Linked DNA regions of Bombyx mori. The protein of the gene in region 2 purifies or fractionates together with the protein of the main gene of each other region. This does not show direct contact. Links are inferred from orthologs where the notes say so. Each region holds a gene or a part of one and is shown on either strand. Other genes may lie near its edges.

The links.
Region 1: the proteins of mitotic spindle assembly checkpoint protein MAD1 (region 2) and mitotic spindle assembly checkpoint protein MAD2A purify together in Drosophila melanogaster (affinity purification with mass spectrometry; 4 studies listed by BioGRID, with this or other methods). This does not show direct contact. The link is inferred for Bombyx mori from reciprocal best matches to the Drosophila melanogaster genes Mad1 and mad2.

The regions. Positions count from the first base shown.
Region 1 is NC_085128.1:1,144,597-1,149,207, reverse strand, and holds mitotic spindle assembly checkpoint protein MAD2A, read right to left. Parts: upstream 3,016-4,611; 5' UTR 2,834-3,015; coding exon 2,764-2,833; intron 2,418-2,763; coding exon 2,271-2,417; intron 1,828-2,270; coding exon 1,421-1,827; 3' UTR 465-1,420; downstream 1-464.
Region 2 is NC_085125.1:5,658,141-5,661,973, reverse strand, and holds the end of mitotic spindle assembly checkpoint protein MAD1, read right to left. Parts: intron 1,743-3,833; coding exon 1,532-1,742; 3' UTR 131-1,531; downstream 1-130.

The DNA.
Region 1 (4,611 bases), on a different chromosome or scaffold from region 2:
ATTTGAAAAATGGTTTAACCAGATCGTCTTTCTGTTTTTATTGCCATTGTAGAAATCTGATAATGTTTACCGTCCGTCACTGATGGACCATATCAGACGCAAGCGGCGGGGCAACGCAAAGCCGTCATCGCCCAAAAACTGACTTGTGGATCCCCCGGATCCCTTCGGAACAAGGTGACACTTTACAAAACCAAATAAATCTGCATAAGGCCCGTCATGACCTACGCGTGTGGTGTTTGCTCACGCGGCCCGCACACACTTGGACACCCTCCAATCCCTACAATCCAGCTTTTGCAGGCTGGCCGTCGGAGCTGTGGTTCGTGAGGAACGTTGACATACACGACGACCTTGGCCTCGAATCGATCCAGAAACGTAACGAAAGTAGAATAAATTATGCTGTAGTCATAGTAGAAAATTTATATCACCCTTGTATCATCGCTCATTTAAACAAGACAAAAACCAAACACTTTTAAATTCATTTATACATGCCAAAATGATACCAAACATTGAAACGAAGGTGCTACATTCACAGTTAAAACTTACATTTTATATTTACAATACTGAACACAATATAGATTTCGGTTGATTGCTATTAGTTAAAAACACATAATATAAAATTATTTTCAATTTTAGGTGCCCATTAAGTGCCCAAGTATACAGTATTATAGTAGATACATGAACAAGCGAACTAGAGATGTAGTCATTACCATTTAAATACTAAATGATTTCCATTTGTAGATACCAACAAAATTACTTGTGGGGCTAAGATATTGATAACCGTTTGTTAGAAAATCAACTCCATATTCAGGTCTTAACGCATAGAATATGTGCGAATGCCAGCCTCGTGTGAGAACATCACTGTTTTTCTCAAGTATCTAACAATAATCTTTATTGGCCTGTATGGGAGTCAGATAACATTGTTTGTAAAACCAAGCACTCAAAACTTAGCTGTGAGATTAAAACAAACTTTAGACTGTTTAAAGCATAATCAATACCTACTGTAACTTAGTCACTAAATAAAATTATACGTATTTAGATCGAGAACAGTCTACAACCAATAATGGCCTAACAATTTGATTGACGATTTCCTTCTTATTTGAGAAAAAAAACTAAAACTTAACACATCACGACAACTGTAGTAATTGTTATGGCATAATTTCATTTTAAAATTCACCATTACTATAATTATGAGTCATTAAAGATTCACTAGTACATTATTGCAGAGAGGGGAGAAAGCAGTAAAGGTTATTTATTATTTAAAATGGGTAGACGGTCATAGTCCACCTTATGGTCACCTGATGGTCATCACGCAATTGATGCATGCTCTCTTCAACAATATGTTACCTTACCTTAGATAATTACAAACTACATTACTTGAGATACTTAAAAAGAATAGAAAACTTATAAAGTAAAGCTGCAATCAATCTGCGAGTTTGTAACTGACTACTGTTTCCATTTTGTGTAAACTAGTCGAGAATGACTTTAGCTGTACATTCTGAGCATTGGCTATAGCTACTGGTTGTGCCTCAGCCCATTTTTCTGGAATATCGCAGTCTGTTTTAGCATGAACCAAAACATCAAATGAACATCTACAATCTAATAGCGGTAAGTACGATATTGTTGCTGCTACTTGTAACATAACATCTCTGATTTCCTGTTGTATCTTCTTCAAATCTTTGCTCCCGACCATTTCATTTTTCTCCTTAGATAAAGCAGTATCTCCATCTTCGTATTGAATGTTAAAGTCCCAACATTCCAGAACTTCTTTGTTAGCCACATTTAGTATGATCAGAGATAGTTTTTTCACTTTCTTGTCAAGAATCCATTCTGTAATATCATCAAAATAACATCATTAAAACTACTTTAATGGATTATATCACACATATATTATTTTTGTTTTGTGATATTGTGAGTACTGACAATTAAGGTTATTGATGTACATTAAATTTTGTACTAGTTTCAGTTATCTCTATGACTTGTGAAAACTAAAGAAATTGCTGTGGTAAAACTTTATTTAAAGGATGTCAAAACTCCTAAAACTCCAGACTAAGGTGTGGAGCTAAGTAGGTAGCAGTAGTGGCCCTCAAAACACAGCACATGAGCAGTTGATTCATCTCATTCGTGCATAAATACAATGCCACTAAAAACAATGAATGATAAAAGAACTCCCCAAATTGTTGATCTTTATTTTAAGTCCATCAAAAAAGTTACTAATTATTACTAAGAACTGCTATTAATCATATTAGATTTGGATGTAGACTAACTGATACCTTCACTCTGTGTAAGAAGATTTGTTAAGAAGCTCTTGATCTGAGGATCCTCTGAGAGTAGCAGTGTGATGCCATACTGGTTTTCTGCCTTAAAGGTTTCAGGTGGATATAAGCCTCGTTGAAACAGTACTGAATTTATTGAAAATTCTGAAAACATGAGTAAATAAATCAGTTTATACTACTCACAGGGATTAAACAAATGTGGACTTTAGTCATATAAATTTATAATGGTTTTGTAGTCCACATTAGTAAGCCCTTGTACTCTGTATCTTTATGGTCGTGTTTCTTCTAACAGCTGTGTGTACAAAATATATTAATTCAATAAATAAAAATAAATAAGCATGTCCATCATGGCCACTTCAACATACTGGTTACAACCTCAGGTTATTATTAGTATCAGAGCTTTCAGCGCATATATGCTTATACGGCTGTGTGGTAAAAATGGGAAAACAAGCTTTTGATACCAGAACAACAGAGAAACAATGTTACTTACTCAAATATTCGCATATAATTTGAGCGGAGCCGCGCAAAGTAATACAATTTTTTGTTTGTTGTAGTGACATAGTTGTCAGCTGTTTGTCGATTATATTGCTGTAATCGTTCTATCAATAATCAAAATCAATGAATTTATATACACACTTGAGTATGTAGGGACGATTTGATACAAACGAGCCGTTATGTAGGTACTGGGTGAATTCAGCGCGTCCGTTGATAATTGTTATTTTCAAATAATTCAAAACATTTCATTCAAACTTCAATGTCAAAAATTCCTTTAAATCAAGTGTCAATGCTCAAACGCCTCCATATACCCTTTGCTTACATATTAAAAATACAAAACTCCGTCTGATATACTACGCAAAGTGAAATGGAACTGAGGAAAATAAATTAATTTTTAAGTAAAGTGGTAATAAACTTAAATACATGAGATCAAATAGAAATAAGCTCTCTCTACATACAGCTACATCAACACACAAAGATGATGATGTGCTCCTAATCTCTATCCTCCAAACTAAAAGGGTAAAATCTTAACTTCGGCAACCTGAATCATTTGATTTTTTTTTATTGCTTAGATGGGTGGACAAGCTCACAGCCCACCTGGTGTTAAGTGGTTACTGGAGCCCATAGATATCTACAACGTAAATGCGCCACCCACCTTGAGATATGAGTTCTAAGGTCTCAAGTTTAGTTACAACGGCTGCCCCACCCTTTAAACCGAAACATATTACTGCTTCACGGCAGAAATAGACAGGGTGGTGATACCTATCCTCGCGGACTCACAAGAGGCCTTACCACCATGTATGATGCTATTATGAAACAAAAACAATATGTAGGTACCTATTAAGAACTTTTTGGCGGGAACTCGAGGAGTGAAGTTGTGTGATTTGTTTTATTTTGTTTAATTAGTGTTTCTTCAGGTTTAAATGTGTAATAACTAGAGGTCAGAGTGGGTAAGTAGATTGAGTTAAGGTCGTTGACGTCAAACGTAGAGGATAATATGGATATATATATATATATATATGCCTCCAAAATACTGGAACTTCATATTTATTGTGATATTTGTTCCGGAATTTTGAAATTAGCATGAATTTGTGTTTAAAGTGAAAAACGTAATAATAATTTTTTTTTTCTTTATTGCTTAGATGGGTAGACGAGTTCACAGCCACCTGTAATCTACGCTATCAGTGCTAGCTAATGGTAAAAGAAATCAGTATTTTGTTTTATACAAAAACGCCTTGGAATAGTTACAGTTATATATTATATATATGTGTATAGTTATAGTTATAGTTATTTTGTCCCTTTCTGTTAAATTGTAAATGACGCTTGTCAGTATGAGACAAAACTTAGACAGTGCTTTTTTGTTACTTTATAAGTATAGAAATTGTATCCGATGAGGATTAAAAATAATTTTTTTCATTTTAAAAAAATAATCATTATGGATAAAATGGCATGTCCATATTAAAATATCTTGATCCAAGTATATGAAATCAATCTACCTACTCCGACCACTGGTAATAACGGTGGTTTATTAACTGTTTAATATCTGTGAAAGTGCACAAATGTGGGAAAATTAAAAAAAAAGCCGCTGTACGTAACTTCTCGGGATCCTTCAAACAGTGCACTGAACAAATCTCAGTAAATATTTACCATTTTACTGAGATTATATTTCATCCCATATCATCTCATTTCATATTATCATTTTTCATAAAAATATGAACTTAAATAAATTAAAATAAGACATGGCTTAAAGGTCTTAGTTACTGGGTCATAAAATCCTTTAAAAAATGTACCTACTATTTATTAACAATGTTTTTTTTTAAAAAGTTTTACACGTCAATGTAAA
Region 2 (3,833 bases):
TAATAAACTTTACTATAATTACTCAGAACTCTGTTTCCCATGTGACAAAAATTTGGTCACCTCTACGAGCCGGTCTGTGTGAACGGACCTTTCCTCTCTCAGCAGGCAAGGTGTATTACGAATAAAAAACTTTATTTCTGATCATTTAATTCACAATCCATAAAGTACAAAATACAATTTACCTTCTTAAAGTCCAGTTTTTTAAAAGTAACTCACAAATAGGAATGTAGTGAACTGTTTTTCTCTATCAGACATTGGCCCTGATGGTTTTAACTAAATTGTTTCAAGCCAATAAAATAAAATTACGTTCCATAGACACTTCTAGTACGAATTTCAAAAATATAACTCGCCCCAATTTAGGGCATGTAGGATGTCAATATAAATACTTTAACTTAAAAATTCAATCTTGTTCACAGAAACGTTTTTTTTGTATATCTATCTGTTTATAATTAGTTAAACTATACTGAGAACTTAGAACTTTTATCTCAAGGTGTGTGGCGCATTTACGTCGTAGATGTCTATGGGTTCCAGTAACCACTTAACACCAGGTGGGCTGTGAGGTCGTCCACACATCTAGGCAATAATAAAAAAATAAAAAAGTGAAACAAATAAAGAATACAAACTGGAACTCGGAGATGGTCTGAACAGTTTATATAATAATAGAAATGATAAGTACATACACACAGACCTCAATTTTCATCAATAATGTTACTATGTCAAAGATTTTTTTGTTTACCGGCGCAGGTGGATTAGCCAGCTCATGGTATTGGTCTTCACAAGTCGTGAGGTCACAATGGTGTTTGAATGGCGGCTATCCTCCGCATCAGGCAAGACAGTGGGTTTCATTAAAAATAATAAAAATTCAACAATTTGTTTAAGATGTATGATCCCGCACATTTATCGTATACATGCTAACACAATTGACAAATAACATGATTCATTTCTTACATATTTTGTATTTAAATCGAATTTTGGGGTCACAATATATCCTTTCTTGACGCTCTGACAAACAAACTCTAAATCATGCATACATTAACATTTTAACAGTCTGCGCAAATTGAAATTCCTAAACAGAATAAACAATGACGGACAGTCGATTGGGAGGAATAGAGACTAGAGTTAGAATAGGGACAAATCTGGGATGTCACAATACTTTTGTTGAGTTGTTAGATTTAGCTTTGTTGAACTTTAGATTTAACTTTGTTGAACTGAAAATGACTTTTATTTAGTGTTTAAGAATATTAAATAGTTTAATTTAGTCATCAAAGTTGTTTAACTCATTAAAGATATTAAAAAGTTAATTACCTAAAGTTAGGTACTTACCTAACAACTAAATAGTGCCAGCCCTATCGAAAAATTCTATTTTCCCCATACTGTTATACGGTGAAGCTAGTTTTTTCAGTTTTTGTGTATATATTGTAATGAACTATGTATAATAACGCTAAGAAAAACCATTGAAAATTTGTGTTGGATTTGGAAAGGGTCCCGATTCGCCCCAATCTACGGTATTACTGATATTAATAAAAAAAATCTATTCGATCGCGTGTTGGATTGTGGTTTTCGTAAAGAGCTCCATGGTGAGAGCGCTGAGGAACAAGGGTATGGACTGATGCTGGTGCAGATGCAGGTCCAGCAGATCGCCCAGAGTCTCCGAGTAGTCGGTGTGGACCATCTCGATGCCGTCGTCGCACAGGGTAAACGTTAAATATTCTTCGGACGACTCCGCGTACATATTCGATATCCTGAACGAAAAGATAACAACTTAGTAAACTTAAAAAAAAAAAAGATGGGTGTAGGCCACCCAGGCCACCTGGTGTTAAGCGGTTACTGGAGCCCATAGACATCTACAACGTAATTGCGCCACCCACCTTGAGATATAAGTTCTAAGGTCTCAAGTATAGTTACAACGGCTGCCCCTACCCTTCAAACCGAAAGGCACCACGGCAAAAATGGGCAAGGCGGTGGTACCTACCCGCGCGGACTCACAAGAGGTCCTACACCAGTATGGCAGCGAAACATGGGCGGCAACCAAAAGGAACGTGCATAGCATTCAAATTGCTGAAACGAAGATGCTAAGGTGGATGTGCGGCTTGACCAGGCTTGATAAAATCCGCAACGAGTACGCAAGTTAACGCGTCACGCGAATTATGCTGACAAAGGTGTTCTTCGGTAATATATCACCGAACAAATACTTTATTTAACGTTTTCGACCTACACGACCCCAAGCTCATCTGTGTTAACGGGCATAACCAATGGATAAATCTAACATGATTGTTAAACCAATAATATTGATTAATTGATTTGATTTTGAGATGACTAACATTGTAGAAGTGAAATTTAAAAGGTAAATGTAACATAATCTACAGATATAGTTCCCGGTACGTAACTTGGCAAGAGTCGTTAGATGCGCAGAAGTCGTTTTTAGGTCTCTTTGGTTGTCAAGCGGGACGCGGGGAAAGACGTAGCACCGTTCCGAGCGCGCTATTGGTGAGTCAGTCGACCCTCCCCTCCCGCACCGCGTCCACGTTCCATTCGCTCCCGATTATACATGCGCCTACTAAAGTTGTAGGAACCCTTTGTTTATATTGAGTTTTTGTTACGAGTTGTTATTATTGTTTTAAATTTCGTTTTTGTTACGAGTGTTATTGTTTTAAAGATGTTTGCAATGCCAGGACCAAATACCAATGACCATATATTCGATTCAGTTACTGAGCGTTTTATTATTTACGTCAGTGACGACAGCGACTCTTCGTTATGTCAACGATGAGGAGCCAACTCCTTCCAGCAGCTCAGGTGCTACCATAAATTTAATCCAAGGGGTAGCACTATTAGAAAATGATAGTGACGACGGCGAGATATAATTTTTAATATTAAGTATATTTTTTTTAATAAACTTCTTAACTTTTAATTGTATTTTATTTATAACACCTAATACACTTCACGAATTCCTCTCTTTTATTTAACTTTCTTCTAAACACACAGGCTTAAAAATAAATTATGGCAAATAAAAAATTAAATTAAATTATATGCGGGCAATAAAAGTGACCATTTTTTTGTTGCAATGTGCACTATGCGCGACATTACCCCCACTACACCAAAACCTTGCCAACTTACGTGCCGCTTATTATAACTATATCGGATTTACAAAAAATTTTTATTAGGAATGTACTGAATGCAGTGAAAGGAAAGAAAATTTTATGAGCGTACACATCAACCAGAAGGTTCTTGAGTGGCGACCGCGTACTGGGAGACGTAGCGTGGGTAGGCCTCCCACAAGGTGGGCCGACGACCTATTAAGGTTCGCGGGGATCCGCTGGATGCAGGCAGCGCAGGACCGGTCTTTGTGGCGAGGCTTGGGGGAGGCCTATGTCCAGCAGTGGACGTCCATGGGCTGATAGATAGATAGATAGATAGACACATGCATGTTGGAATCCTTATATAGGTATTAAAATAGGATCTAAATAAGTAAATACATCAAAATAGATTTTTGGAGTTTACTCCTTTAGAATCGATTTACATATATAGGCCCGGGGTATGAAAATTATGGGGACCAAAATCGTACTAGCATGTCACACGAAATGCGTTATGCGCCTGATTGGCTCCTGATTGCGTGATGCGTGCGCGCGCCAATCAGGAGCCAACGCGCGGCCGCGTTATCGCAGGTGACGCCGGGCTGCTGCGCCGGCAGTCCGCCACAAAGCCTCGTACTGATCGCGCGTTTCTCTCATTATTGTATTTTCATATATTTGTTAGTCGTTTGTTTTGTGTCTCGTTAATTTGTTAATAATCTGTAGTGTATCGTGTTGTCGTAATATAGAACTATTTCTCGTATT